7 linked regions of the Tribolium castaneum genome follow. The protein of the gene in region 5 purifies or fractionates together with the protein of the main gene of each other region. This does not show direct contact. Links are inferred from orthologs where the notes say so. Each region holds a gene or a part of one and is shown on either strand. Other genes may lie near its edges. The genes, in order: Sf3b3, Sf3a1, probable ATP-dependent RNA helicase DDX20, Cdc5, SmD2, Prp19 and noi.

Evidence for each region.
Region 1: the proteins of SmD2 (region 5) and Sf3b3 fractionate together in Homo sapiens (co-fractionation; 4 studies listed by BioGRID and IntAct, with this or other methods). This does not show direct contact. The link is inferred for Tribolium castaneum from reciprocal best matches to the Homo sapiens genes SNRPD2 and SF3B3.
Region 2: the proteins of SmD2 (region 5) and Sf3a1 fractionate together in Homo sapiens (co-fractionation; 3 studies listed by BioGRID and IntAct, with this or other methods). This does not show direct contact. The link is inferred for Tribolium castaneum from reciprocal best matches to the Homo sapiens genes SNRPD2 and SF3A1.
Region 3: the proteins of SmD2 (region 5) and probable ATP-dependent RNA helicase DDX20 purify together in Homo sapiens (affinity purification with mass spectrometry; 3 studies listed by BioGRID and IntAct, with this or other methods). This does not show direct contact. The link is inferred for Tribolium castaneum from reciprocal best matches to the Homo sapiens genes SNRPD2 and DDX20.
Region 4: the proteins of SmD2 (region 5) and Cdc5 fractionate together in Homo sapiens (co-fractionation; 3 studies listed by BioGRID, with this or other methods). This does not show direct contact. The link is inferred for Tribolium castaneum from reciprocal best matches to the Homo sapiens genes SNRPD2 and CDC5L.
Region 6: the proteins of SmD2 (region 5) and Prp19 fractionate together in Homo sapiens (co-fractionation; 3 studies listed by BioGRID). This does not show direct contact. The link is inferred for Tribolium castaneum from reciprocal best matches to the Homo sapiens genes SNRPD2 and PRPF19.
Region 7: the proteins of SmD2 (region 5) and noi fractionate together in Homo sapiens (co-fractionation; 3 studies listed by BioGRID and IntAct, with this or other methods). This does not show direct contact. The link is inferred for Tribolium castaneum from reciprocal best matches to the Homo sapiens genes SNRPD2 and SF3A3.

The regions. Positions count from the first base shown.
Region 1 is NC_087394.1:10,470,164-10,474,871, forward strand, and holds the start of Sf3b3 (splicing factor 3B subunit 3), read right to left. Parts: upstream 3,009-4,708; 5' UTR 2,725-3,008; intron 2,457-2,724; 5' UTR 2,444-2,456; coding exon 2,007-2,443; intron 1-2,006. UniProt on the Homo sapiens protein: Component of the 17S U2 SnRNP complex of the spliceosome, a large ribonucleoprotein complex that removes introns from transcribed pre-mRNAs.
Region 2 is NC_087397.1:12,582,595-12,587,136, forward strand, and holds the start of Sf3a1 (splicing factor 3A subunit 1), read right to left. Parts: upstream 3,093-4,542; 5' UTR 3,018-3,092; coding exon 2,924-3,017; intron 2,851-2,923; coding exon 2,686-2,850; intron 1-2,685. Other genes in the region: peroxidase, read left to right, coding at 4,134-4,173. UniProt on the Homo sapiens protein: Component of the 17S U2 SnRNP complex of the spliceosome, a large ribonucleoprotein complex that removes introns from transcribed pre-mRNAs.
Region 3 is NC_087394.1:23,203,907-23,207,590, reverse strand, and holds the end of probable ATP-dependent RNA helicase DDX20, read left to right. Parts: intron 1-1,304; coding exon 1,305-3,010; 3' UTR 3,011-3,073; downstream 3,074-3,684.
Region 4 is NC_087400.1:3,566,751-3,571,225, forward strand, and holds the start of Cdc5 (cell division cycle 5-like protein), read right to left. Parts: upstream 3,212-4,475; 5' UTR 3,007-3,211; coding exon 2,565-3,006; intron 2,421-2,564; coding exon 1,734-2,420; intron 944-1,733; coding exon 1-943. Other genes in the region: Yod1 (ubiquitin thioesterase Otu1), read left to right, coding at 3,580-4,269, 4,320-4,475.
Region 5 is NC_087395.1:17,190,729-17,193,408, forward strand, and holds SmD2 (probable small nuclear ribonucleoprotein Sm D2), read right to left. Parts: upstream 1,090-2,680; 5' UTR 990-1,089; coding exon 633-989; 3' UTR 609-632; downstream 1-608. Other genes in the region: Vps51 (vacuolar protein sorting-associated protein 51 homolog), read left to right, coding at 86-198, 244-352; serine-rich adhesin for platelets, read right to left, coding at 1,850-1,945. UniProt on the Homo sapiens protein: Plays a role in pre-mRNA splicing as a core component of the spliceosomal U1, U2, U4 and U5 small nuclear ribonucleoproteins (snRNPs), the building blocks of the spliceosome.
Region 6 is NC_087395.1:23,125,804-23,130,457, reverse strand, and holds the start of Prp19 (pre-mRNA-processing factor 19), read right to left. Parts: upstream 3,050-4,654; 5' UTR 3,042-3,049; coding exon 2,918-3,041; intron 2,796-2,917; coding exon 2,646-2,795; intron 2,602-2,645; coding exon 2,138-2,601; intron 1-2,137. UniProt on the Homo sapiens protein: Ubiquitin-protein ligase which is a core component of several complexes mainly involved pre-mRNA splicing and DNA repair. Required for pre-mRNA splicing as component of the spliceosome.
Region 7 is NC_087397.1:5,206,110-5,210,576, reverse strand, and holds noi (splicing factor 3A subunit 3), read left to right. Parts: upstream 1-1,803; 5' UTR 1,804-1,946; coding exon 1,947-2,042; intron 2,043-2,094; coding exon 2,095-2,301; intron 2,302-2,350; coding exon 2,351-2,423; intron 2,424-2,480; coding exon 2,481-2,794; intron 2,795-2,843; coding exon 2,844-2,980; intron 2,981-3,028; coding exon 3,029-3,368; intron 3,369-3,419; coding exon 3,420-3,621; intron 3,622-3,670; coding exon 3,671-3,804; 3' UTR 3,805-3,857; downstream 3,858-4,467. Other genes in the region: NF-kappa-B essential modulator, read right to left, coding at 17-1,528; neuropathy target esterase sws, read left to right, coding at 4,245-4,349, 4,400-4,467. UniProt on the Homo sapiens protein: Component of the 17S U2 SnRNP complex of the spliceosome, a large ribonucleoprotein complex that removes introns from transcribed pre-mRNAs.

The sequences.
Region 1 (4,708 bases), on a different chromosome or scaffold from region 5:
TTTGTTAGGCCAATATTAACAGTTCGTCTTGCGCAACAAGAGCCATGCCAACGGGTACACCAATTGGTAAAGAGTTGAAAGAAAGAGTGATCGATGCTTTCTTAAACAATGAAAAACAAGCGGATATTGCAAGAAGATTTCAACTGCCTAGATACAGCGTGTCTAAAATAATTATTCGCTACAACGAAAGAGGACATTTAAACAATAATCCAAAATCGGGACGACCACGAAAAACCACTATAAACATGGACAGACGCATTAAAAGAATTTCGGAAAACGATCCATGGAAATCTGCATCTAAAATTATAGCGGAAATACCGGAAGTAGGAGTTAGTACACGAACAATTCAAAGAAGACTGGTTGCAGCAAAGCTTTTTAGTAGACGTCCTGCTAAAAAACCTTTGATTTCCGAAAGAAATAGACGCGCCAGACTTCAATTTGCAAGAGAACATTTGAATTGGACAAAGCAAGATTGGAGGAAAGTTCTGTTTAGTGACGAAACTCGATACAAATTATTTAATTCGGATGGAATGAAACGTGTGAGACGGCCAATCAATACACGATTCAACCCCAAGTATGTTACACCCACTGTTAAACATGGTCATGGTAGCGTTTTTCTGTGGGGGTGTTTTTCGTGGAATTGTGTGGGTCCGTTGAGCTTTATTGGGGGTAATATGGATCGGTTCATCCATAAGGACATACTCCAAGATGTAATGCTGCCGTATGCAGAATGGGAAATGCCTCTTCGTTTTATCTTTCAGCAAGATAACGACCCCAAACACACTTCTGCATTGGTCAGTGAGTGGTTCCAAAATAATAATATTCATGTTTTGCAATGGCCTGCCCAATCACCAAACCTCAACCCAATTGAGAACTTATGGGAAGAGGTAGAGCGACGAATCCGGATACAAAAATTTCCCAACAAGCAATCTTTGATAGATAAAATCAAAGAAGTGTGGTCAAATCTGGATGAAAATGTTATTCAAAAATTAATTTCTTCAATGCCCAGACGGTGCCAAAAAATTATACTTAATAACGGCTATGTCATAAATTATTGAATTTTTCGTTCTATTTATTTAAACTTTAGTGTTGGGTAGTGTTATGTAAATGTTGAATCAAATAAAATTTGAGTTGAAAATATTTTCTGACAATGTTGCCTTACTTTTGTCGCATTAATATCGGGCTTTTTTATATTTCAAGCTAGTAGCATGTCATAATAATTACCCATTGGCTATCCATGTTCAACACGAATAAGAATATCTTTAAACGTTTATTATAAAATTAAATTGAAGGTAAATACCAACTCTTAAAATTTAAAATACCAATATTTGTATATTTTTCAACATGTTGCCTTACTTTTGTCCGATAGTGTATTTTAAACAAATACTTTTTTCGACAAAATAATTAAAAGTCAAAATAAATGAATGGTAATTCGGATTATGTATACTATTTTACTTAATTTGGGAGTTCGGTTAATAGAATCGTACGGATTATCCGAGCCGTCTAAATGCAGAACTGATTGCCAAAAATTTTAAAAATAGCTTTCCCGCACTGTCACATTTAAAATTTAAACAGCAATTTCTATTTGTTTTTACAAAATTCATTCTTTAATACAGTAAAACTATACAAAAGTTTCGAATTTGACACAAAACTCACTGGGGCTTGATAATGTATTCTTTAATTGTGGTAATCTATTTCGTTTTGTTTTTAATTAAGTAGGTATATCCCATTTCAGGTCGTAGAATTTTGCAAAAACGTATTTGCATTTTTTGGAGTAAAATGTAACGCAAATTGAGTTTCTGGTGGGTTTTCTTAGCACAAACTTTTTTTCTTTTACAGAAACTTACAATTTTGCACAAATCGCACTCCAAAAATGTCACTCAGATGCAGATGTAATTATAACTTTCTAAAATAGTTTTCCGCAAAACTAACTAATAAAGACCGCACGTTTTTTGTGCATTCATTAATTTTTACAGAACAAAAATACTTTAATAAAAAATTTGTACCTATTCAAAATGTAAGCGAGTTTTTGTTTCTCGACGGCGCCTATCATTACAGCACGTCCTCGAGGGTCAGTGGCTAGGTACTGGCCTGGAACAATACGTCTGACCCCCGATTTGCCGAACGTCTCCTGGTGGACCTTCTCGAAGTTGTTTTTAGACGGGATATACTCAAGAATAACGATTCTGCCGGAGTCGGAGCCCACGATGACGAAGTCTTTGGTGCCTCCGGTGAGTCGAAACGACATCAACGAGCGGACGACTCCGAATATTTCGACGGTTAGAAGCGTGTGGACTTTACCGGTGTTGGGGTCAGGCCGTAGCACTTCCAAGCTTTTGCCACGTGAAATGACAATTTCTTGCATTTTGGTGCCGGAAAAATTGCCATGGATGGCGTGGGTGATGGCTGTGGCCCTTTGTAAGGTCAGGTTGTAGAGATACATTTTGGGGGCTTATCTAGGAAGAAAAGTGAGGTTAGAACGTATCATTTTTTAGTTGAAAATGTGGGGCACTAAAACCAGGCTTTAGCTTGGTAATTCGCTTGAGCCAACGATGCGATGTGCCCCATAATATAGCACCCTTTACGACCTGTACGTATACAATACATAGGTACAGGAGATACCAAGTGCATCCGATTACAAATTTTTAAAGCAACTCGTTAATTTGGGCAAAAATACGTACTTGTGATTAATTATAAAACAAAATCAAAGCTAAATTTTGTTACCTTGAACGTGGATGAGCTTCGTTTCGTTCAATATTTCAAAGTTTTTCAACCATTTATTTTCGATTTTCGCATGGTTCACATTGTTGTGACGTGGTGACTTGGTTATTTATTTGAGCGTTTTTGTCGATGGTTAAGTTAATTAAAAAACAATAATAAAGCACCTTTTGCAATGTTTTGATACATTATTTAGCAAAAAAGTACAAAAACTAACTGCAAATGGCGACAGACCGGCAAAATAACGCACAAACACCGGTGAAGTGAGAAAGGAAACGGAAAGAAGAAATGTAGTGCTACTGCGCGTGCGTGTTGGCTATATTTTTTACTACGCAAGCGCAAAATTTCTAAACCAATCAGAAAATTGAGAGGAAATTTCAATTTAAATAAATTTTTCAGAAAATTATCTTTGGCCAAAATTATACTTTAACAATTTATGCGTTTGATATTGCCAGTATGTATCTTTTGTTTTTACCGTACTGTAGGTACTGTATTTAGAACTTGATTGTGTTTATCTCAATTTGAGGCAAATAAGAATCCAAATTCTAGTAAAAAGCTTATTGTTTTGTACCATATTTTCCGGACAATTTTCAGAGTTTTAGTTCAATGCAATTTACAGTAATAGTCTTATGCGTTTGTTTGATGAAATTTTAAGTTATTGTAAAGATATCATATCTTCCTTATTATAAAAGATACATATTTAAAACAAAAACATTATACAGGCACTTTTTTACAGAGAATTTAATAATGTTAGCAGCGATTTTTTTTACTCATTCGCTTAGCTGTAATGACATAAAGTTTTATTTTTTTAAATGAGAATTATAGTTGGCTATGACATTTTCGAAAAGCTTTTTTTTTCTGAACTCAAAACAATATAAATATAGTTTGATGTTTTTATACAGGGTGCTCAAAAACTGGCGCACCAACTCAGTGGTACGTTATTGAGAAGCAAGTGCAGATTACGGGAAAAATGTTGAAAAAATTCCTAAAGTTATATTTTAAAAAATCTGGAGCTACAAACTTATTGTGTTAATTTCTTTAGTTTTTATTATTTTTTTATATTTTTATTTTTCATACCAGGTAATCGTTCCGTAACAAAACGATTAACAATTATTTTAAAATTTACTATCAAATTTTAGCAGTTTTTTTAATATAAAAAAATTAAAATTTATCCAAAAAAATCACAATGTGTAGATGTGCCAACACTGGGAATTATTTCCTAGGAAACCGTTTCAAATATAATTTATTTTTATTGTTGCTCAAATTCTATTGCGATCATGACTATTAGACAACGTTGCCACATATCAATTACTTAAAATTAGTTATTTATCAATAATTTTAATACAAAGAATTTTTTTACTATTTTTACCATTATATGTAACCACTTCTCTATCACACACCATTGAGTTGGTGCGCCAGTTTTTGAGCACGCTGTATATTTATGATAAAAATATATTAAAACATTTGAAAGTAGTTGGCTATGAAAAAATTATTTCACATAAAAGGTGTGAATAATCTAGAAATTTTGTGAACGGTTATTAAAGTAAAAAATGTGAAATTATAAAAATAAGCTGTGTTGAAGTTATTTTGAATTGAACAAATATACGATGATCGCAGATTTTAATTACATAAAAAATGTGTAGGTGACGTTGATAATGTTGTATATTTTTTTACCGCAGATAAAATTTGATTTGGTGTTTGGATTGACATTTTTTTTGTAAAATAAAATTTTATTGATACGCAATCATACAATTATTTTTTTCTTTTTCCGACATTTCATGTTTAAAATTGTAAAATAGAATAACAACGTAAGCTTGCCATTTTAAATATAAAAACAAATAATTTTTATTAATTGCAAAAATTTAAATTAATAAAAATTTATTATGCTGTTTTGGAATTAAGGATTTAAAAAATCATTAAATTATAAATATATATATATATATATATATATATATATATATATATATATATATATAAATATTATAAATTA
Region 2 (4,542 bases), on a different chromosome or scaffold from region 5:
TAGTTGCACACAAAGGCGTAATTCAAATAATGTACCAAATTTTTACTTTTCTTAATTGAAAGGACGATCCAAATAAAATAAAAGTTCTGCCATAACAGTTCAAAAAAAATTTAATGAAAATAACGGTTCCGGTTTCAGTTCAGGTTAAGTTGCGGTCCGGTTTTCGGTTCTGTATTAGTCAAACAATATCATTAGATAAAATCAAAAATTTTAATTGAAATGAAATTTACACATAGCGGAATTATATTAAAAAAAATACTTTAAAAAAGAATTTAACAAATTAGACATCAAATTATTCCAAGTGTTAAGTATTAAATTTCTGAATCTGAAACATCAAAATCTGTTTTTGAATCAGACTCACTTAGAGAAATAATAAATGGAGAAATATTTGCAATGTGTTTTGTCCAATCTGAAGCAATTAATTATTCCCAGTGTTTACAGAAATTTTGCCACATTTCGGGTGTACATTTTATGAGTGATTCCGACCATAGATTTGCAACTTTATTTCTGTCCAAAGGTTGCTCATTTGTATGTTTATTATAATAGTTCTTAGAAAACCCCTATGCCAATGAATTGCGTTATACTAGCGATGATATGGGGGTAATCAAAGAACTTCATGTCCATGGTCATTTAAAACTTTATCTATTACGTACTGTTTTTAATTATTTGCTTTTAAAGGTTTTATTAAATCCTACAACTGATTTTTAGTGAAGTATTAAATCAAATTCTATATGATGATTAATCAACCATACCTACATTTTACCCTTGGTAGAAGACGACGTGGGCATTTTTTCCAATTGCATCGAGTGACACGGAGCACTATCCATTATCACAACAGATTTAAATGGTAGTTTTGCTAAAGCAGGAATTAATTGGTTAATCACCCATGTTTGAAATATTTCTCCATTCATAGTTTTGTGATAGCCTCTGTCATTATTCGCCACATCCATTAAAAGGTCACATCCTTCCAAAAAAGCAAACCGACATCCCGCATATAATATAGTGAACCTTTTGTCTTCACTTTTAATTTTTGAAGGATTGCTTTTTAGGTCTTCTTCGTGAACCCACCGTCGAACATTGCTGCCATTTTGATAAATCCACCTTTCATCCAAATATACAAAAATAAAATTTTTAGTGTTTTAGAGTTTTGGTACTGAAGAAATTTTCGTAAAAAAACAATTTTTGATATCAGAACATGTTTTTGTTCACAAAGATTTTTCTTCTATTAACTAAACGAAATCTGTAACTCATATTTTTTAAAATTCTGTATGAAGTTGTTCGCCCTCCTTCAAACTCCAAATTTTCTTTTGATTCTGTTAGTAATGTGTCTAAAGTAAAATATTGATTTTTTTAATTATATTTCGAAGTAGGTATATTTAATTTCAGTTCATAGTAGAATTGCATTTTTCAACAGCGGATGTGAGTATTTTGGAGTAAAAATTAAGCCCAAATTGAGTTTCTGTATAAGAAAAGAATTCACACTTTGAGCTAAGAAAACCCACCAGAAACTCTCATGTTAAAAAATGCATATGCGCTGTTAAAAAATTCTACTATGAACTGAAATGGGATATACTACTATGGAGAAGTATCTGCTAATAACAGGAAGTGCCTACTTTTAACTATAGTCTTTTGTTCCCGAAAGTAAAGTATTTACTTAAAAAAGTAGCATTTACTTCACCCATGTCTTTACTCCACTGGACTGTAGTATTAGCATCTACTTCATTTTTATTTATACCACCCAATGATTTGTTTGGCATTCTGAAGTCCAGAGCAATGTCATACGTGTAGTTTTCACAAAATTTCAAAAAAAAAGATCCTTAATGAAAACCACATTAAACTTGAATAATTGTTGGTATTTTCATGGAGTTTAGAGAAAAGATAAGACAGCTTAACTGTTTATTTACAAAGTTAAAGTTACGTCTCGGAAACGCCTTCAGACCTTGGCTACATAATACTACGAAAATACCAACAATGATAAAAAAGGAGAATAATTTTTTTTTATAATTGAACTTGAATGTTTTTCGCAGAAAAATGATGAATGAAACGATTTGTCTTGAACGGTAAACTAAAAGGTTTTTTTTGCATAAAAACAGTAATTCCACTTTACATTCACATTATAAACAAGTGTTCAAAATTAGTTAATGTTTGAAAAACTTTATTAATCCGGCGTTACTCAGGTGAGTTTTTAGGACACCAATACTAAGGTGGGGTGTGACACACACATCAAAGAATGTGTTTGTTATTCTGAAACTATACCAAAGCATTTTACACTCGATTTTACATAAAGTCCAATATTTCAAAAAAGTCAAATCTTTACCTAGTTTTATAGAGCAAAATTTTTGGTAAAAAGTAGTAACGTAAGTAAGTGGGGTGTAACAAACCCCAGAGCCATAAAATCGGCTACAACACACATATTATAACAGCCAGGTGAAAATTATATTATATTATATGAAAATCATATATTACATCATATTCGAAATGTTTTTGCAATCTACTGAAAGGTGCATACATATAACATTCCTATCTAAAAAACCAAAGCATTTTTTTACTCTGGGGTCTGTCACACCCCAACTGAGTAACGCCGGGTTAAAGAACAAATATTCTTCAGTGTGACCAACCTAATAAAAGAACCATAGGTCTACTTTAACCTGATCAACTCGATTAATATATTTTTATGTTCCTTACCTTTCCCCTCTCGAAAATCGTTGACTTTGTGCTGATAATACGCATGGTAGGGGTCACCAGGATTCAGGAAATTAAATTTCGGATTCCCTAATTCGTTCTGTCTGATCCTGGCCTCAAATTCTGGCCCGTTTCTGGCCACAAAACTGGCTGTTTTATCGACGATATCTTAGCAAATTGTCAGGAAAAATACAATCTAACCTGAATTTTCCGACAAATCTGAAATTTTCACAAAGGATACTTCTCACCTCTGGTGGTGGATAAATAATACCCACCACTGGATTTATCGGTCCGGGATCGTCCGGATTTGGATTATTTGCTTCCAAAACCGGCATTTTCACTATTTTTTCTTACAATAAGCTAAATAAACACGCTAACAAACGCTTGCTCAACGTAAAATGAAGAGAGAGATGGCAATAAAAAATAAAATTGATGAATACTCCAAACCACTAGAGGCGCCACAAGCGGTCTTTACAGAATTCTATACCAACATTTTACGCGTGTAAACTGTTTTTATATTTTTTACTTTTGTAGTTATTTCTTATATTTTTTACAAATATTATGTATTATTATTATGTATTATAATATTATGTATTACGTTAATATCTATATTACAACTAACGCTTGTGGTTGCGGATCAAAAAGAACGATTAATGAAACCTAATTTATAGATTTGAAACAGCTTATATCTCATTTCAACTCATAGTAGAATTTTGCATTTGCATTTTTTGGAGTGAAGTAGAGCTCAAATTGAAAGTTTCTGGGTTCTTGGCTCAAAATTTGTTACTGAGATTTAGCTTAACATATATTTTTTTCTTATAAAGAAACTTTCAATATGTGCTTTATTTCACTCCAAAAAATCCAAATGCGCTGTTGCAGAATTCTGCGATAAACTGAAATAAAATATATTAGCTGTTTCAAAACTAAAAAAACGCTAACGTCGCATTTTTTTTTGAATTAGGTGTTATAAATTATTCATGTAGTTCAAAAAAATAATAGATAATGTAATTTATACTTGGGAAAGCTAATCAATAATAATTATTTTACATTTTTATTAATCTTATTTAAAAAAATTATTTAGTAAAATGCGACGTTGGTGTTTTTATAGTTTTAAAACAGCTAATAATTTATATTCAACATAGTATTTAACATTTTAGCGAACCTTGAAAAAACGTTGTACCTATAACTTCTGATAGTTTTCAGCTTCAACAGATCAATATTTAGTTCAATAAATTAAAAAACATAATAAAAGTAAAAAAATATAAAAATTTATGTTTAAACATTTGAGCTAAATTACTCTACACCGTTAGAGGACGCTTCAAAACAGACAGATAATTGACAGAAGAATTTGACAGTACGTTTGTGGTTTATGCTGCCCTCTTTTACCAACGCTTCCAAGTTGGGAGTTGTGCGTTGGTAAGGTTGATAACCTGTGGTTTGTTATTGTTTATATGCGGGAAAATTTCATTTTTAATCGAATTTTTCCAATGGGTGAGTTAATTATTTGATTTTTGATTATTTTGTGTTGGATTAGTGTGAGTTTGTGTTATAAGATTGATACCGGAAGGCCGCTTTCCTTCCGTTTTGTTTGAAACTGCGACGGAAATTTCCACAGTCGCATCGGCCTGGTTTATTTCCTAGTGGGCTAGAAATTGTTTTTTGATAATTTGAAGGGGTTGAAATGAAGGGGGACATTCTAAATTAAAAAAATGCGGCATTAGTTACTTGCTAGATTTTTATTTATTTAAAACAATTTATTTTAAGAGTCGCCGATTTTATTTATTATTATATTTTTTTTTAATTATAGAAAGATACAATTTACAAAACTGTTTTTTTTAATAACTTTTGCGTCGTGACCCA
Region 3 (3,684 bases), on a different chromosome or scaffold from region 5:
TAAGACACACATTATGCAGAGAATATAACAATGTTATCAGCGTTTTTTTTAATTATTTGTTTAACTGTAACAACATAAAATTGAATTTTTTAAATAGGAATCATAGTTGGCTATGACATTTTCGAAAAAATTTTTTTTTCTGAACTGAAAACAATATAAATACAGTTTGATATTTCTATATACTTTTAATAAAAAACATATTGAAAGCAGTTGGCCATGGAAAAATTATTTCACATATAAGCTGTGAATAATCTAGAAATTTTGTGAACGGTTATTAAAGTAAAAAATTTGAAATTATCAAAATAAGTTATGTTAAAGTTATTTTCAATAGAACAAATATACGATCGTCGCAGATTTTAATTACATAAAAAATGTTCAGAAAACTGAAAACGATGTGTCACTACTATTTAATAACACTTTCTTATGATTTAGTGAAGTGCAATGGCGATGACGTTGATAATGTTATGTATTTTTTACTACAAAAGAGTAAAATATTTTGTAAAATAAATATTGACAGGCAATACGATTAATAAGATTTTTCTTTTTTCCACATTTCATGTTTAATTAAGAAATAGAATGACAATTTTAGCTTGCCATTTTAAATCTAAAAACAAATAATTTTTCTTAATCGCAAAAATTTGTTCTAATAATAATTTATTATGCTGTTTTTGAATTAATTAGTGTTTAAAAAATCATTAAATTATAAATACTTGTTGGGTAATATATTTTTTCATAGTTTTTATTGAAAATCGAAATTTTTTTCATGGCCTACCATAAAGAAAAAGCGAAATGTTATGTTTTCCTTAATATTTAAAAATAATGTATTACATAAATAGATATATCAAATCAGAACAAAATAAGCTTTTAAAAAATACTGCAGCCGCCTATGATTCTTATTTAAAAAAAAATAAAACTTTTTGTTATTACAGTTGAACGAAATATAAAAAAAATCGCTGACAACATTATTAAATTCTCTCTCTGTAAAACGTGACTTTGTTATAATAATATGTGAAGTCTTTGTTTTAAATAAGTATCTTTTATAATAAGGAAGATATGAATGTTTTAATATTCCACTAAAATGACAACTTTTTCGAAAGTCGAAAATAAAAGACTATAACAGGATGCGATTTTGGGTAAAATAATTCTCTCAAAAAACGGAGCCGCGAATGTGACTCGTTTTTCTTTAAATCTTTTACTTTCGGAGTTCTCCTAGTCGGACATCCAAAATGCAGCACCCTGTATATATCACGGCTGTCTTGATACACGTTATTCATTGAATAATTTGATTAATTGGCACGTTTTAGGCCTCAAAATCGAGAGTTTCATCGGTGGGAGGCCCCTCGAAGACGACTTGAAGAAATCGTCCAAGTGTCACATCGCAGTGGGGGCCCCCGGCCGAGTCAAACACTTGCTAAAAATGGGGGCCCTCACTACAAACCTCGTCAAACTATTCGTCCTCGACGAAGCCGATAAATTAATGGAGGAGAGTTTCCAGTCTGATATTAACGAAATTTACAACAGTCTGCCCCCTCGCAAACAAATGATAGTATCGAGCGCCACCTACCCACAAGAACTTGACACTTTCCTAGCCAATTACATGCAATCCCCGACTCACGTGACGTCCGAAAACGAGACCCCACTCCTACTCGGCCTTAAACAATTCGCAGCCATGCTAAGGCCCGGCCTTAACTCAGTCCAACAAATGAAAATAAAAAACGATCTTTTGATAACAATCCTAACGAAAGTTTCGTTCGTCCAATGTTTGGTTTTTACGAATTACCAATCACGGACCGAGACAGTTTCGAATTATTTGAACCAGAAGGGCTGGGATTCGGTTTTTATTTCAGCGGCGCAGAAACAAACCGAGCGGTTGGAGGCGATTGACAATTTGAAAAAATTTAAAAATCGCATTTTACTTTCAACTGATTTGACTTCACGGGGTATTGACGCCCCCAATGTCGATCTTGTGATAAATTACGACTTGCCTTGCGACGCTGTTACGTACTTGCACCGCATGGGGCGCGCTGGTCGCTACGGTTCGGGGGGACTTTGCATTAATTTCGTGTCAGAGGGGCCCGAAGTGACCAAATTGCAGCACATTCTGGGGGCCATCGGGGGGAATTTATCCATTGCCAAGCTGCCCCCATTGGAGGGGGTGGATTTGTGGCAAGTCGATTTGAAAACACTGGAACAAATAAGGGGGGTCGTGCCGTCTGACACTTCAAATGACGTTAGCGAAAATTTGAAAAGTGAGGTTATGGAGCTAAAGGAGCGCAAGGATGGGAAGAAACGTAAAAGGGTTAACCCGGAAGCTAGTCCCGATTTGCAAAAGGAGAAACGCAAAAATGATTTCTCACAGGACACTTTTTGTAAAAATCGGGGGCTTCTTAACTTGACTAAGGTTTTACTAGATCCGGGGATTAACATAGATGGGGACATTACCGACTCGGTCGATAATTACCTTAAAATTTTGAAAGTCGATGACTTGGAGGAGGAAGTCCCGGTTGTTACTCCCCAAGTGGAGGATTTTATGGAGGGAATTTTCACGGCGGCGTATGACTGTGCTATTGATAGTGGGGGGAGGAGGACTTGGACGGAATATTTGCCTTTGGAGGAGCTCGAAAAATTCCAAAACCGTGGTAAAGAACTTGATGTTGAGATAACAAATGATCTGGAGGAGGAGGAGGAGGAAGAGGTGGAAGAAGAGGAGGAAAAATGCGAAGAAGAGGAAGATTTCGAAATGGAGGAAGCAGTGCATAGGAATGACGTATCTCTCGAATGGGCTCCAGTGGTTCAGGAAGGTTCTGGCAAACGTTTTGATCAATTTTTCGAGGACTGTAGTAACGTTTTGTGGCAAAATGGTTTGACTTTTGAAACGGTTGAAAGTTTCGACGATTGGTTCTACCACTGGCAGGAGTCTCTCCAATCTGTCCGAAACTACGTCCAGCAGAACATTTACATCGAAGAAATGAGTAAATATCAAGAAAGCAGGAGACGAAGTAATAAATAACGGATGTTTCCCTGTCCCGCCTTGAGCAGTTCCTGTCATAATAAATAATACAAAACCTGTTAAGTGTGTGCGTCTTATTTTCGTGATAGCGGTTCAGTGACTCTATAACAAGAGCAATGCAAACAATAATTTTATTTTTCTGAGAACAACGAGATAATAATTCATTCGGGGTCGGCAATAAGTTGCGCAAAATAAAACCGGAAATGCGGTAAATGCATAATTAGCGAGTGCATTAACCATCTGGTAAAAGTGCATAAAACAATGAAATGCAAATGATGCGGCGGATTTTATCGGAGGTTAGATGCAATGTCGGCGTTTGATGGCCTAAATCTGAGCGTTTTTGTCGTGTCCGTTGCATGTTTCGAGGATTATCTGGATCTTAGCACGCCAGAACGAGCGCCCCAAGGTGAATAAGACGACGGCCTCGGATCGTGACACGGTGGAGAGAAACGGGAATTAGGGCTTGGGAACATTGGTAATAATTCGGAAATTATGTCACAACTATTTTATTTCATTTGTACACAAAAATAATAGTATATTATGATACGAACGAGTTTTGTAAGACGCATTTTGTCGCACGCACGAATTTAGGAGTAAGTGCGACAAAATGCTTTATAAATGTGGTAACATACAGTATTTTTAGCAAAAAAGTTCAAGTTCGAAATTTAAGGGAT
Region 4 (4,475 bases), on a different chromosome or scaffold from region 5:
TCCATTTTTGCCGCCTTTTTCGCCTCGCGCGCCATATGTGAGCGGTTCTGTTCCAGTCTTTTTTCCGCCGATTCTAACCGCTCTTTTTTCGACACTAGATTAGCCCTCGTGTATTTGTTTAAATTTGGAACAAAAAGCACTTGTCCCAGACACTCCTCCCAAACTTGGGTGTATGCCTCCAAAGGTAATTCCCCATGGCCCATTCCATACTTTACAATTTCCATTTCACGTTTCAATAATTGTTTGGCAAGTTTTAAATCATCCGATTTGAAATCGTCATACGGGTGCTGTTCCAGGAATGCCAACTGCTGGGCCTGAGCCAAAGCCGAGCGCTTGACTTGGTTAGGGTTTTTCAAATTGTCAAATTGCAACATTGTCACCATCTCACACTTGATCAATTCCTCGGCTTTCTGCAGCTCGGTCAACGAATGCGACTCGTGATTCGGCCGCAAAACGGCCAAATTTACATCGTGGGGGCGCGGCAGCCCCCTTTGAATCACCTGCGACCGCAGGGCTAACTCCTGAGCCGCCCGAATTTTCGCTTCTTCAAGCGCTCGCGCATCAACATCTGCCTGATCTTCGACAATATTTGGCGTTTTTTCTTCTTCTTTTTCCTCTTCTTCCTGTTCGGGAACGACGATTTCGTAGTCGTTCTTCGGTGTCGGTAAACTACTTAAGCCTAGTCTTAGTTGTTCTTTTAAATTGTTTTGGAGCGAACGCTGTTCGGCTGGAGTTTGTGCCACCATTTCGGTGTTTTCCTCATTTATATTGAGTTTGTCACGAACTGAAGGCGTAAAACTGCCTTGGGGGCCCTGCGGTGTCATGAAACCGGGGGTTTGGGCCCCGAAAGGGGTCGCCAGGACCGTATTGGGAGTGGCTATGGTGAGGGCTTGTGGTAAAACGCCCGAAAAATCCGAGTTGTGAAGTGGCGTGTTTCGGCCCCCTTTTGAAAGAGATATACAAGGTGAGGCAAAGTTTGCAGTTTGGCGTTTTGCGACTAAACTATTAACTTTTTGGGAAAAGTTATTAGTGGATGGTACACTACTATAAAAATGGGACTTTTTTCAAAGTATAAAGTTTTTTAATTTTTTCGTTCGTTTTGAAGTTATGGTATTTTTTAGGTAGTAACCCACCTAGAAATTTTTTTATTGGTTATTAAGTTATTGAGACAAATAAAGTAATAAAAAGAAAGAACTACAAGTCATTTAATGTCAATTTCATTTTTTTATTTTTTATTTTTTTTACATATTATGAACAAGAAAATTGATATTTCATCCAATAAAGACAGATTTGGAATCTTCAAACAATTTTAAGTCACATAGGCATGCTCTTGGCAGGGTATTCAGTTATTGTGACTTAAATAGTTTTTTTATTGGTAGGTGACAAAGTAAAACTTTTAACTGTATCTCTATATTTAGCTCGTATTATAAGAAAAAAAAAATTTTTTTTTAATTTATTTGTACCTTTCTTAATTATTATTACGCACATTTTTAAAAATCAAGAACTTACAAAAGTTCTTAATTTCGGGATATTTTTGAGCAATATAGCGGGTGAGGCAAACTTTGCAATTTAGTATTTTTTGGCGAAACTATTCACTTTTTGAAAAAACAGATTGGTGGACGGTAAACTACTACAAAATTGCAATTTTTTTTCAAGAATAAAATTTTTCGATTTTTTCGCTCCTCTTCGAGTTACGTCATTATTTATTTATTTTTTTGTGATTTTTTTTTTACCTTTGAGTGGGGTATCCACATGCGTCAAAGCCATGACATTTTGCGCTTCTTGAAGTATCCGATCAGTTTGCGGTGCCGGAGTTCGGGGAGTCACCGCTGCCGCTTGTGGCGCCGCCACCGTATAATCATTGAACAACGTATCAGTCGACTCGATTCCACTCTCTGCTGCAACTTCACGTGCAACTTCACTCGCTTTACCCAACTTTACGACTTGTTGCAACTCCAGATCGCTAATTTGCGGCTCGGGAAGTACCAATTTCGAGCGTTTTTTCGCCGGTTCTTGATTCTGTAGCATCGCTTGTGGAATATCATTTTCTTTTCTTTGTTTTAATTTTTGTTTATCTTTGCGACGTTCGCGTTCTTCTTGTTCGCTTCGCAGTTCACCGTCGAGATGTTGTTGACGCATTTTGTGAAAATCGGGCGCCATTGGATCAACAATTTCGGTGGAAGTGTCGTAAAAACCAATCGCTGGACGTTTTTCGAAGGGGATTTCCTCATTGTAGTCAACACCGCGTTTTTTCTTACGACGCGAATTCACTTCGATGCCGGCAGCTCGAAGCTCGCGCCTTTTTTGCAGTGCTGCCAATCGACGCGCTTCTTCCAGCTGCTTTTCGCGCGCTTTTCGCTTCGCTTTTTTGCCCTGGGTGTTGGCAAGCCTGGCGCGCGCCTCGGACAACATCTCCAGCTCTGCAACGACAAACACGCGTGCCAACCTTTTTGCGTTATAGTATACTATACAGGGTGATTCTTTTGCGGTTTTGAAATTTTTATTGCATTTTTGAATTCGTGTTTTGAAACTGAGAAAAATGTACCCCATTTGTTAGCTCTTACCATCCTCGTCCATGTCTTTGGGGTCGGGCCTCGCAGGCTTGGTTTCCGGATTGGGGTCAATTTCCCCCGGTTTGAGCTTCCGGGGGTCGTCCGTGACATCCTCCCCTTCTTCCTTCTTCTGTGCCTGATCCAGGAGGTACTCGTAGCGCTCCAAACACTGAGCGGCCGTTCGCCCGATTATGGGGGCTATCGTGCGCCACTGAGTCGGCATTAACTTGGCCAAATGTAGCAACTTTTCGTCCTCTTCCCGCGACCATTCCGTTTTTTTAATACTGGGGTCCAACCATTCGAACCAACGCGCTTTACACTGTTTGGCCGATTTGCGGTGAAGGAGCGAGGCAATTCGAGACCACTGGTTTTTCCCATATTTCATTACCGCCGCTTTGAGGATCTCATCCTCGGTGTTGCGCCAAACGCCCCCCTTTATCATTATACGCGGCATTTTTGCACTCTTTAGTTAAAAACCTAACCTCACTTTTGACAAAAACTTAAATTTTATAACAATACCACTAAAAGCACGATAATGATGCTTGGGTCAACACTATTGAGTCACTAATTAGATAAGAAGTAATTATTTTGGGACACTAATGCAAAAAACGGCCCTTTTTAAACGGCTTGATTTTTGGTTATAAAAATGGCCGTCCTTGAGTTGGCATAACTGTTAGTCGAGAAAAAACAAAAATTGGGGATTAAAAATAATCAGAACCGTACTTAGAACGTATTAATCGTGACACGAGACTGATCTAAAACGTGATAATTTTTTCCTGTCTTGAAATAATTAAAAAAGTGTGGTTGGTATCTCGCGTCAGTCGGCGAAAGTCCCTAGCCCCCCCAAATCCCTGTGTTTATTTAACCCTTTTGAAATGTTATCTCGGTGATAAAGCGCCCAAGTGTTGCCCCCTTTCGCCCCAATCGTCTAAATTCGGGCCCCAAGCCCTTAATTTCGCCCTTAACCTCACTTCTCCTGTCACTTGTCACTCCCAACTGTCATTGTTATTAGCCCCCAGAGAGCACCATGTCGTTCGCTTTGCGCGTCAAAACCAAAACGGGGCAACAAGTGATCAAAAACCTAACACCTGAGCACACGATCAAAGATTTGAAGCGCCAGTTGTGCTCCATATCGCAGATCCCCGAGGACAGGCTCCATGTGTTGTCAGGGTTCCCCCCGAAGGCGTTCGCCTTGGGGGACGATGGTCTCGAGTTGAGTCGCAGTGGTCTCAAGTCGGGCGATACCCTGATTTTGGAGGAGAAGGCCCGGGAGACTGCGCCCCCCTTGCGGGGCCATATCAGTGAAAGTGTCGACTGTCCGGGGATTCTGATGAAGAAGGTGGTGCCGGCCGACAACTCGTGTCTTTTCAGTAGTGTTTACTTCGCCCTGAACGGGAAACTGGACGAGAGTGGCACGGCAGCCCCCTACATGAGACAAGTGATTGCCGAAACGGTGGCCAGCGACCCCGAGATGTTTTCCGAGGCGATTTTGGGGAAACCCAACCGTGAGTATTGCGCCTGGATCCAGGACGACAAGTCATGGGGGGGCGCCATCGAGTTGGCCATTCTCTCGAATCACTATGGGTTCGAAATTGCCGTCGTAGACACGATCAACGCTATTATCAACCGGTTCGGGGAAGACCAGCATTACACACTTCGAATTTTTCTAATGTTTGATGGTATACACTATGACCCCCTTTTTTTGGAATCGTCCGATGTAATTTCCTTACTCAGGGGGTTATCAAAAAATTATTTGATTCGTTTCAGGGGGCGAGTATTCAGACGATTTTTCCCACTGATGATGATAAGGTTTTACAAGAGGCGCAGGAATTAGCGCGCGAGGCGAAGTCGAGTCGACAATTCACTGATGTTAACAAATTTACGCTAAAATGCATGAATTGTAATATTTTCCTTAATGGACAA
Region 5 (2,680 bases):
ATTCCGATAATTTACAGCAGAGGCTAGTTTATTAAGGCATCATTTTGTGGAGGGTTGAAGCATTTAATCAAAAAATAATTTCTAGACGTTCATGGAGTGCGTACGTCTGAAGACTTTTAGTAAATTTGGCCTCCAACAAATTCAAGTGGACACGCATTACTTGCAGTTGTATTTGTGGCGATTTGTTGCGGATGAAAAGTACGTCACGAATTTGAATTTAGTGAAATTAATTGAATTTTCCAGCTTGGTTCATTTCCTCCTGGATGAGATTTTGGGATCAGCAGTCCACAGGTGCCTGGAACCGATTTTAATGGAACCAAGCGTTGTGGACATCATATGTGAAAGGGGTTAGGTCATGCAGCTTGCATAAGTTACAAATATTTATTATTCTTTTGTATTATCTTGTTTAAATAAAAAGGAGAAATTTTATCACATTTTGTTGTATTATTTTTATAGATAAATGTTAAAAAACCGTTCAATCTTTCATTTGCAACGACATGAATGTGATATTTCCACAGTATCACGTTCGCGGTATCAATCAACCGCAGAACAGAAGGACCACACGAGTGAAGTGATAGGTAAGTGAATTTCCTCAATAAACACTAAACTGAAGATACAAATTTTATTCCTAATTAACCACTAGCCGTAGCTAGGGGGTTCCTTACAACTATAATAACCGCATCGCCTCGCAGAAACATTTTCGAAATGAACCGATCCTTATTTACCGGCTTGGCTTTCTTCTTCCCCTTTCCAGGCCGGGGCAGCTCTGTCCACATTTCCTTCACATTCTCCAACACTATGTTGCAGTGCCGATCGAACGCCTTCACCCGCCCCAGCAATTTCTTGTTGTTTCGGCAGTTTATCAGCACCTGAGTGTTGTTCTTCACCGACTGAGTGAGCACCGAAAGGGGGCCCGTGTTGAACTCTTCCTCCTCGCGAGCCTGAAGCTCCTCGGCCGTCATTTCAGACTTGGGTTTCGTTAAAGCCATTCTGACTCGGTTTTTGCACTTAAAACAACACTTTTTCCGGCACAAAAATAGTTAGGTTAGGAATTTGAGCGTTTTGGATGCGTTTGGGGAATTTTGCAATGCGCATGCGCAAACTGGGTTTAATACTATGGCGGCAGATTCAAACATTTAAAGTGAAGAAAACAAACTTCGAATTAAATCAACAATTATTCTTCTCACATTTAAAGTTACATTAAGATTACTCTTTTGAATAATTAATTAAGAGTTTTAACATACTCAAAAACCACGATCTAAAAACTAATTACAAAATCGAGCAAATAAACCAATTTATAATCCATTGAGATGAAGACGTTAAATATAAGAGCAACAAGCTATTAATGAATCAGATAGGGGAATGCACCGTTTATTATAATTTAACTAGAAAATGTAATAAATATTGCAAATACGAGTATTGCAGTGCATTTTTCCAACGAAGGGAGTTTAATTCCCAGCAATTTGTTAGCCCCAGAATCGAAAATTAAATAATTACGATAAACAATAATCACTCTTTATTTATAGTAAGTATAACAATAAGAGATAACCAGTGCAAGTAATTATTCCAGCAGCGTGTTTATTTAAGTATACAAGCAATGCCAACGCAAATAATAATAGAATAATCATTAAAATGCAGTGAGGAGCCGATAAACCACCCCGTCCCGCTATATAAATTAAATACTTGAAGAAACGCACCAGAAGAAAGCCTCTTGTCCACCCGGTATTAAGTAGTTGCGCCGAAGGTGATGTTTTTGAAATCTCCTCGGTCTGGCTGCTTTATACCGCATGGATGAAAATCACCAAAAAAAGTCTGTTTTCTTGTCACACGTTGTCAGATTTAATAATTCTTAATTCGACTTCCTCATTTGCGGCGTTTCCTGTCGCCGCCCGTCTAAGGTCCCGCATTTGAGGCTTCGTTTTTCATGAGTTCGGTCTTCGTGTGCCTACCTTAATTCAATTAATCAATTGACCAGATGAATGGAATAAAGTTCATATGTTTGACATCGACGATGAACATATTTAAATCTCGTTAGGGGCCACTTCGGACTAAATAGGATAATAGCCGATGCTTACGGCTGCTTGCTGAATGCCTCTTGTGTCGAGATACACGCGCTGTATTCAATGATATTGTTTGTGTTGGGCAATTTTCTATTTTTGACGCAAGTGTTTATAAGAGTGGACTTTTGCTCAGGTAATTTTTGGGGAAATGTAGAGTAGTTCTATGTAGAGGAGTTTGATTTGGAAATGATTTTCCGGGCGTTTATACGCGAAAATTTTCCAAGCACTTGCTATTAGTGTTAATTTTGTAATGTTTTAGAGAGTAAAGGGGTACCAATCATGCAATCAAACCAATCAACGGCGGCATTACTACACATATTTTTCGAATGACATCGAATCTCATCTTTAGTCCTTAGATTTTTTCTTAACAACAGTTCCAATTTCATAAATTTTCTGATAAAAGAAGAGTCCAGGCAGAAGTATATTTTCTGTTACAGTTTTAATAATCTTCGTTCACCCATTAAAAAAAAATCCTATAAATAAATTTACTAAATATCTAAAGTTGATTCATAACTTGACTGTATCTAATTAATGTAAGCTAAAATCGCCCTAAACCACCTAGCAAATGAGTAATGCTCATCCAGCGGGAAATATTATAGGATATTCACACAAAAAAAGTT
Region 6 (4,654 bases), about 5.9 Mb from region 5:
TTCAAAACCTTAATAAAAGTAAAAAAAGATTAACCAAATTTAGGTCAAAAAATGAGCTGAATTAAAAGTGAATTTTTGGCAGTTTTGGCGAGTTCTAATGAAATGAAGAATTTCCTGGTTCAAGAGCGAACTAAATAAATGGTATCAGGTGTTCATTATTTAAAAAAAACTCGTAGCATGCTCTGACATTTTTACGGATTTCGTAGATCAATTTTTATCATTGTATTGTTGGTTGCCTATCAACCAGGTCATCACAATTCATAGCCAAAGATTGTTAAATAGTGTTCAAAGGCGATGTGTTATGTGTGTTGAACAACAAGGAAGACATTTCCAACAGTTTTTATAAATAATAAATAAATTTTATGATGAAAATCTGTTTTCTTTTAGTTGTCAAAAAGTAAGGTTATGAAAGAACGGATTAATCACAGACATAGTAAACAATTATTTTTTTATTTTCAAAGCACTCTAGAGTTTTTTTTAAATGAACACTTGTTATTGTGTTAATTAATTTGATGATTTTAGCCAATTCTAGCAAAAGTTTGTGCTTACAGCCCGGAAAAAAGTAAAACTAACACAATTTTCGACTTATTTATAATGAGTTTTGACGAATTTCACTCAAACTCAAATATACTAAATAATTAAATAATAATTAATGTCGATTCACTTATGTGACAAGATATTACAAAATAAATTAGTTTCCGAATGGTTTTGAACGAAATTTTGCGGAATATTTGTGGTTTTAAGTGTAAAACGTATTAAAATGATCGCAAATGAAAAATTAATGTAGTTTTCTATATTTAATTTGGCGATTAAAACAAAAATTCAAATGTGCTTGAAAGCATGAATAAAGAAAAAATAAGAATTTTAACAATTTCATTGGTTTCTTGTCTTGTTTTTGGGAACATTTCATTCAAAAATAAGCTGATAATAAGTTTTTGATTTTTAGGTGTTTTGTCAAGATCTCGTAAAATAAAAGAGTCGGCTTTTTATTTTTTTTACGAAATTTGGAAAACAGTTCTGTCTTAAAAGCGTACTAAAATGCTCGTGAACTCGAAAAATAATAAAATCTTAGAATTAATTTGGTGTTTTTTTCATCTACCTTTTTAGAAAAGCCTCAAAAAACAGAAAAATTATTTCTGCATGTTTTTCTCAGTTGGTTTTGCAAAATTTCGCCAAAAAAGCTGAAAATTAAATTCAAAAACGTGCTCTAAAGCTTAAAAAACGTAAAAATTTTGATCAAATTTTGTGGTTTCTTGCGTTTTTTTTTAAAGGGAATTTCGCGAAAGTTAATCAAAGTTAATAAAAACAAAATAATAAGTTTATATTTTTATTGTTGGGAAATAAATAAATTCCTGGCTCAAAAACAAACAAAATCGAAGGGAATGGTCTAAAATAACAACCATCTTGATGTAAAAATAGTGCTTTTTTATTAAGTTTTTGTAATGTTTATAGAAAAAAGCTTAAATTGTTTTCAAAAAAAATTTAAAACACTTGAAAACAACAAAAAAATGTAACATTTTCGCTCTTATCTTAAAAAAAAAATTCGAAATAACTACATTGTCGAATGTTATACGAATTAAATTGCCGGAAAATGGCAAAAATAACAAGATTTCAACGAAATTTTGCTTTTTGACTGCAAAATGTATTACGAAAATAGAAGATTTCCCAAATTAATTTCCTGATTTCTCAGAATAAGTTCGAGATAAACAACCTGAAATGACATCATTTTCGATCACTTTATTGAAATATTTAGATATTTACTTAAAAAAAACAACGCATTTTTGGCTCAATTCAATTAGAATTAGGTTAGAAAGAAATTCTTTTATTTGAACGAACATTTAGTTAAAAAATATCAGTGTTTTGAACACATCCTGTGACTTTTGGCTTATTTTTGATGAAATTTCGCCCAATAACAAGCTAAATCGAGTAAATCCAGCAAAATAACACCAACCTTTACACGTTTTTCCAATTGGTAAATGTGCTAAAACACTCGTAAGAGAGAAAACTAAGTCATTTTCTACCACATTTAGTAATCTTTGCATTTGTCAAGTGAAATTTTTAAAACGACAATTGTGCAAAATGCAAGAGATGTTCGGGGAAATACTGGATGGTATAAATAAAAACATTGAAAATATACCGGATGTGAGGCCAAAGTCTTGAATCCCCTCAACTGCTCCGGCGTGGACACCTCTTCAGGCACCGTCTTGCTCCTCTTCTTCCTCTCCTGCGTCAACACCGTGGCCTTGTCCTGCAGCTTCTCAATCACTTCATCAGTCAGGCCGCATTGCTCTGTCGGCTGGTTGGCGATGCCGCCGGCCTCGGCCGCCACCGCGGGCTGCGGCACCGTGATGATGCCCGCTTGGGGCTTCAGCGTGGCCAGCGCCTCCCTGGCGGCGGTCACCTCCTTGTTGAGGCGCGCGATCACGCGACACGCGGCGTCGTGCTGGTAGAGCGCGTGGCTCAGCTCCTGGCGCGCCGTCTGCAGCTGCTGCCTCTGCGTGAAGCTGTACAGCATCACGGCGTCCCACTCGTCCTGCAGCAGCTTCAGCGTGGCCGGGATGCTGGTGGCGCTCGGCGGCTTCGGCTTGACTATCGGCGGGGCTGTGTGGCGGTTAGAACCGAACAAGTTGGGTTAGGCTACTCACTCTTAATTTCAATGAGCTTGTCCACGGTGAGCTCGTCACCGCTGATGGGGTCCTTGCCGTGCTCCTGGATGTACTTTTCGATGATGCGTTTTTCGAAAATCGCACCCGACGTTGGGGACACGACTGGGTGTTCCGGCACCTCGTTTGAAACTGAAACCGGGCCAAATCGTTACCCAAACTGCGCCAGAAGCTCATTACTGACACTCGAATTAAGTTTTGATTCGTTAAAAAAGCGTACTTTATTCAAAATCGCAACAAAAATTCATACTTACGGGCACAAAACAACGCCATTTTTGCTAACTTAGCTTGATGTGTCGCCAACCGCACAAAGTGAAAAACACTGTGGCCGAGATATCTGTGCAGATGCACTAAAAATGATGATGGCACCATGAACATTACAGTCGACCAGACAATCGTTGCGCGCCTGGAGCTAGCAACATTCTCGTTTCTACAGCCAAGTTCACACCAGGAAAATTATCAAAATAATCGTAAATCATTAGAAAAACATACCCTGATCATTCTAATGTGTTTCTATTACAAATTAAAACTTGACTACATTTTTATTCTTATATTCAAGCAATGCAAATTGTTTTTTTTCACCCCCTTTTTACCGTGCAATGTTCATTATTTTTGTAGGGGAATAAGCCCTTCGATAGGGCCTTCGGCTGTAAAAAAATGTCTCAATTTTGCAAACTGCGTTAAAAAAATTCGTATTTAAAGATTGCTCTAATCAGTCAAATTAATAACTAATTTGTCCAGCAAGAACCACGTGGAGGTTTAGAGCATTCTTGCCAGGAAAAAAGGAAATAAGGATGAGGTAAACAATGATTATTGGAAAATAAAAGGGAATAAAGACATTACTGGTTTGTGTAATAAAAAAAAAGTACACAAAAATCAAAGTTTTTCACTTGGCGTTAAATAAATGTTCTTACCTTTATACTGCATCTGCTACCATTTGTAGCAAAACCTAAAAAATAAATTAAAAACACAACCAACAAAAAAAAATAATTTGTAGGAAAGTTACAAAAAGCGACACTAATAAATATTATACAGAATAAAGGATGCACAATACGGTATAATATATGGCACACAAGCTATTAAATTCAACACATCACAAGATAAAACGCAAAAAAATGCACCTACCTTCATATGGCTTCTGCGTTGGCTACTGTTTGTAGCAAGACATTAAAAAATAAAAACAACACCAATAAAAAATCTTTATTTGCATGAAAGTTACAACAAGCAACATTTGTCAATATTAAACAAAATAAAAAATACACAATACGTTTTAATATGTGGCAATTTAAATTTAAAACTTCAGTAAATAAATACACCTACCTTCATATCGCTTCCACGTTGGCTACCGTTTGTAGCATTAAAAAAATAATAATAATAAAAATGAAACCAAAAAAAAATGTTTGCATTAAATTTAGAGCAAGTGACTTTCATCGATTGAAATTAAAGACAAAATCAAAACGCGACGATAAATTGTTTGAGTGTTTTCTTTTTAGTTACTGAATTTAAAACTCAAACTATGACTTTTCAACACCGTATTAGAGCCGGTGTACACAACATTTTATTTGCAATTAAATTTTAACGAATTATTGGTTTGTGAAATAAATAAATACGACACAACAATAAAATGGACGTACCTGTGTTTCGCTTCCACGTTGGCTACCGTTTGTAGCATAAAAAATAATAATAATAAAAAAGAAACCAAAAAAAAAATGTTTCTTTGCATTAAATTTTGAGCAAGCCACTTTCATTCATTGAAATTAAAGACAAAATTATTACGTGGCAATAAATTGTTTGAGTGTTTGATTTTATTAATAGTTACTGAATTTAAAATGAGTCACTCAAACTGACTTTTCAACACCGTATTTAGAGCCGGTGTATACGACATTGTAATTGCAATTAAATTTTATGAAATTATTGGTTTGTGAAATAAATAAATACGACACAACAATAAAATGGACGTACCTGTGTTTCGCTTCCACGTTGGCTACCGT
Region 7 (4,467 bases), on a different chromosome or scaffold from region 5:
TAGTCAAAAAATATATTTAGGGAAAACCGTCCAAATCCAAGCACCTATGAACATGATTTTCCAATGACTGGTAATTATTAAATCCGAACGAGCACTTGGGGCACTGATACCCCTCGGCCCTCGGCGGCTCGTTCCTCGCCCTCAGCCTCTCCACTTCATTCTGCAGTTGTTTGTTCCTCGTTTGCAGATTCTGCAAATCTTCAACAACCTGGTCCTTCTCTTGTTTCATCGCAAGTTTGCTCTTCTTCTCTGCTTCAAAATCGTTCTTATACACTTCGATTTGTTCCTTCAATGCGAACATTTCGTCGTTGGCACTTGTATTTTCTTGAAGTAGTTTACGCAAATCTTCGATTTCTTTAATCTTCTGTTCCCTTTCCTGTTCCAATGCTGTGATTGTCCTTTGGGCAACGCTCAACTGGGCCCGGGATTGGGCATAATCTTCGGCCAAACGCGGGTTGTACTTGTCTTGGAGCTCCTTAAGTTGCGATTTTAGGGTTTTTATCTCATCACTGAGGGTGGATTCGACGAAAGCGGTGCGTTGTTGTTCTTCCTTCAGTTTCAAGATTTCCGTTTCTTTCAGTTTGAGGAGCTGGTCGTAGGTTTGGGCTGCCGTCGATGATTGGACGAGTTTTGCGTTTTCTTTTGTTAAATTATCCAATTTTGATTGGAGGTCGGTGGTTGTTGTCTTCATTGACTGGATTTCGTCAATTAGGTCGCTTTCGCGATTTTTTGCGGCGAGAATATCCAGTTTAAAGTCGTCAATTTGTTGCTGCTTGGTTTGTAATTCCTGTTCAAGGTTCGGTACATTCACCAATTTTTGCGTCAGTCTTTCAATTTCTTCCTGTTTCAGTTCTAAATCCTTCATCATTGCTAATTTCCTTGTGTCAACAACTGAAAAGTTGGGGCCGTTGGTCAAATTTTCCAATTCCTTAAGCTTCAGTTTCAAATTCAAGATTTCTTCTTCATGGAGCTTTTTAAGATTGATGTAAACTTCAACGTCACTAACCAACTTTGCATTTTCTTCTTTATACTTATCTATGCACATTTTGGCATCGTTGAACTTATCTTTGTAGGACTTCATCACATTGGTGACCTCATCCCTGTAGGCCAAAAACCTCGTATACTGCGCCTTCATACTCATGTTATTTTGTGCGATGATATTCTTCAACTTTTCGTTTTCCTTAATCAGTTCTTCCACTTGTTTTTGAATCTCTTCATACGACGAATCCGGCGATATTGCAATACTTGCAACTGAGGGCACAATCGCATCAACAGCTGCTGGTAATTCTGGCAACGGATCAACGGTAATTTGTGATATTTTCATCCTGATTAGATTTTCCATTTCGTGAACCTTATTTGTCCTTATTGGGGGCAAGATTTCGTCCCTTGGAGGGCTGCAAGACAAACTTTCGCTGATGGAATTTGAAGTTTCCAAAACGACAAATGAATCTTCATCATCGGACCCGATTGACGGAACCATGGACTCTGCAGTGTTTTTCACAGCAACGAAGGACTCGTCACGACTCATTTTTGATGACTTTCAAGTTTTAACAACAGCTGCAGTACAACACTACATTTGCGGCGCAAAATAGAATGAATTAGAACATAGAATATGAAAATACCAAACTACTGACACACGATTAAAGACACTGCTACCAACCGGACCAATAAAAAGTCGCCTTAGCCTTAATTTAATTTTTTAAGAATATTAAAGCTCTAAAAATGTTATTGTGGCATAACTATTTACGTAAAATTTCATTTGGGACACAACTGTAGTCGTAAAAAAATTGTAAAGTCAAAGAAAAACCGCTTAGTGATTTTCTAGTGTGACAATAATGGTGCACCTCTCTCTTATTCTACGCTGACATTTTGTCATTTTTTGACAGTCGACATTTGATGGCGTCGGGTAAATAAATAATTTTCGCAATTTTCTAAAAAAAGTCGCAATGGAGACGATTTTGGAGCAACAACGGCGTTATCACGAGGAAAAAGAGCGTCTCATTGACGCAATGGTTAAAGAAATTTTACATAAAAAAACAACGGTAAGTTGTGATTCTCGTGGCGCTTTGCCCCCTGACAGAGTCTTTGTTTTAGTACCGCGAGGCAATAAACTCGGACTATCGCCTTAAATTTCTGCTAGACAAATATATGACCTCCACTGATCGTTTGATTGAGCTGTATGAGGACAAGGACGGGCAAAGAAAAGCGGAAGTCGCTGCCCTTACAGGTCCAAATGAGTTTCAGGAGTTTTACAATCGTCTCAAGCAGATTAAAGATTTTTACAGGAAGCATCCTAATGAGGTATAGTTTTTGAATATTTTGTGTGTTTGTGTAATGATTTTTTTCTCAGATAAGTATTCCAATGTCTGTTGAGTTCGATGAACTAGCCAAAGCGCGTGAAAATCCCACTGAAGAAATGGCAAGTGAGTCTTGCTAGGCTCGTGTGATCACAGTTGTTTAATTACGTTTGTTTTTTCAAGATTTGGTTGAATTTACGGATGAGGAAGGTTATGGGAAATATTTGGATTTGCACGAATGTTACGAGAAATATATCAATTTGAAAGGCATTGAAAAGGTTGATTATATCACATATTTGGGCACTTTTGACCAGCTCTATGACATTCCTAAAGAACGCAAAACTGGAGAATATCGCAAATATTTGCTTTGCTTGATTGAGTATTTAACTTGGTTCGTGCAAAGAGTCAAACCTTTGATGGACATTGATGCTGATTTGCAAAACGAAGTTGATAATGTTATGGTCCAGTGGGAGAATGGGACTGTTCCAGGATGGCCCGTAATTTGGTAAAAAACTAATTTATTTTTACTACTTCATTTACTTTCAGAAAGAGACAGGGTCGGCCTTGGCGAACGTTGGGGCCCATTTAGACTTGTCCGCATTTTCAAGTTGGGAGGAATTGGCTTCTTTAGGTTTGGACAGATTGAAGTCGGCCCTAATGGCTCTTGGTTTAAAATGTGGCGGGTAATTATTTACGTCTTGCCATAAATAAAATTCTAATTATTTATTTAGGACGTTGGAAGAGCGTGCCCAGCGTTTATTTTCAACCAAGGGCAAAGGCTCACTAGATCCGTCTCTAATGACTAAAAACAAATCTGGCAAAGCCAGTAAGGAAAAGGAGCAAATGAGACAAAGAGAACTGGCCTGTCTTGAGGCACAAGTTTATAGGTTGGCCGAGCTGGTCGCCCCTCAACGCGCGGCAACTAAGGAAAATGTCCAGAGAAAACAAGCGCGGACGGATGGTGAAAGAGACGATAGTGAAAATGAGGAGAGTGAGGAGGAAAGTCCCGATGAAGCCGACGATGACGTTCCCTACAACCCCAAAAACTTACCTTTGGGCTGGGATGGAAAAGTATGTGATTTTGAAAGTAAGTTGGTAAAATTGATTGTTTCGTAATTGCAGCCGATTCCATACTGGTTGTACAAACTCCACGGTTTGAATATCAGTTACAACTGCGAAATTTGCGGCAATTACGTCTATAAAGGACCAAAGGCGTTTCAAAGACACTTTGCGGAGTGGAGACACGCTCATGGAATGCGCTGTCTGGGAATCCCCAATACCGCGCATTTTGCCAACGTGACGCAAATTGAGGATGCCCTAGCACGTAAGAAGTTGCAATTTTGGTTTCTTACCTTGTTACGGTTGTTTTCCAGTGTGGGAGAAGCTCAAAGTGCAAAAACAGGCAGAGCGTTGGCAACCTGAAACAGAGGAAGAGTACGAGGATTCGCAAGGGAACGTCGTTAACAGAAAGACTTACGAGGATCTTAAAAGACAAGGTTTATTGTAATTTGTGCTGTATTAACAATAAGTATCAATAAAAAACATAAACAAAACTTTAAATATTGACATTTTATTTTGATGGTCGCCTTGGGAAGGGGAATTTTCGACTGTTCGTTAGCACGAACGTACAAAACTGAGCCCGAAATAGGGATAGAGAGAGTGAAAATTATTCCTGTTACTTAAGAAATTATTCAGTAGTTTCTGCGTAAATAAATAATAATTTAAGTACTCATTTAGCGTGTTTTTAGAGTTCGGTTGAATGCACAGTCGGCTGCAATTTTTCTCACTTACCGAACGATGCGCATTTGTTTGTGCCTGTGATTTGACCAGATTTGACTTTGACACATAAGTGGGTAAATTCATCCAAATAGGTTTGTGATTTTATTCAACCTTTAATCACTAATTCTTTAATCATCAGAGTCTAATTTCTATAATGTGCGAGCTAAAATGGACGTATTAAATGCGGTATACAACTTAAACAATGAAGAAACCCTCAAGTCCAGTTGGTTCGGTGAGGTCTTCTCGAGTTTTTCGACTCAAGAGACGTACCAGGTAAGAAAACTGCGATTTGAATCAGTTTTTGCGTAATCACGGGGTTCCAGTGGGGCTTCCAGCTACTGCCCGTGTTACTGGCAGCGATTTTCGCAACGATAATTTCAGTAACGTATTT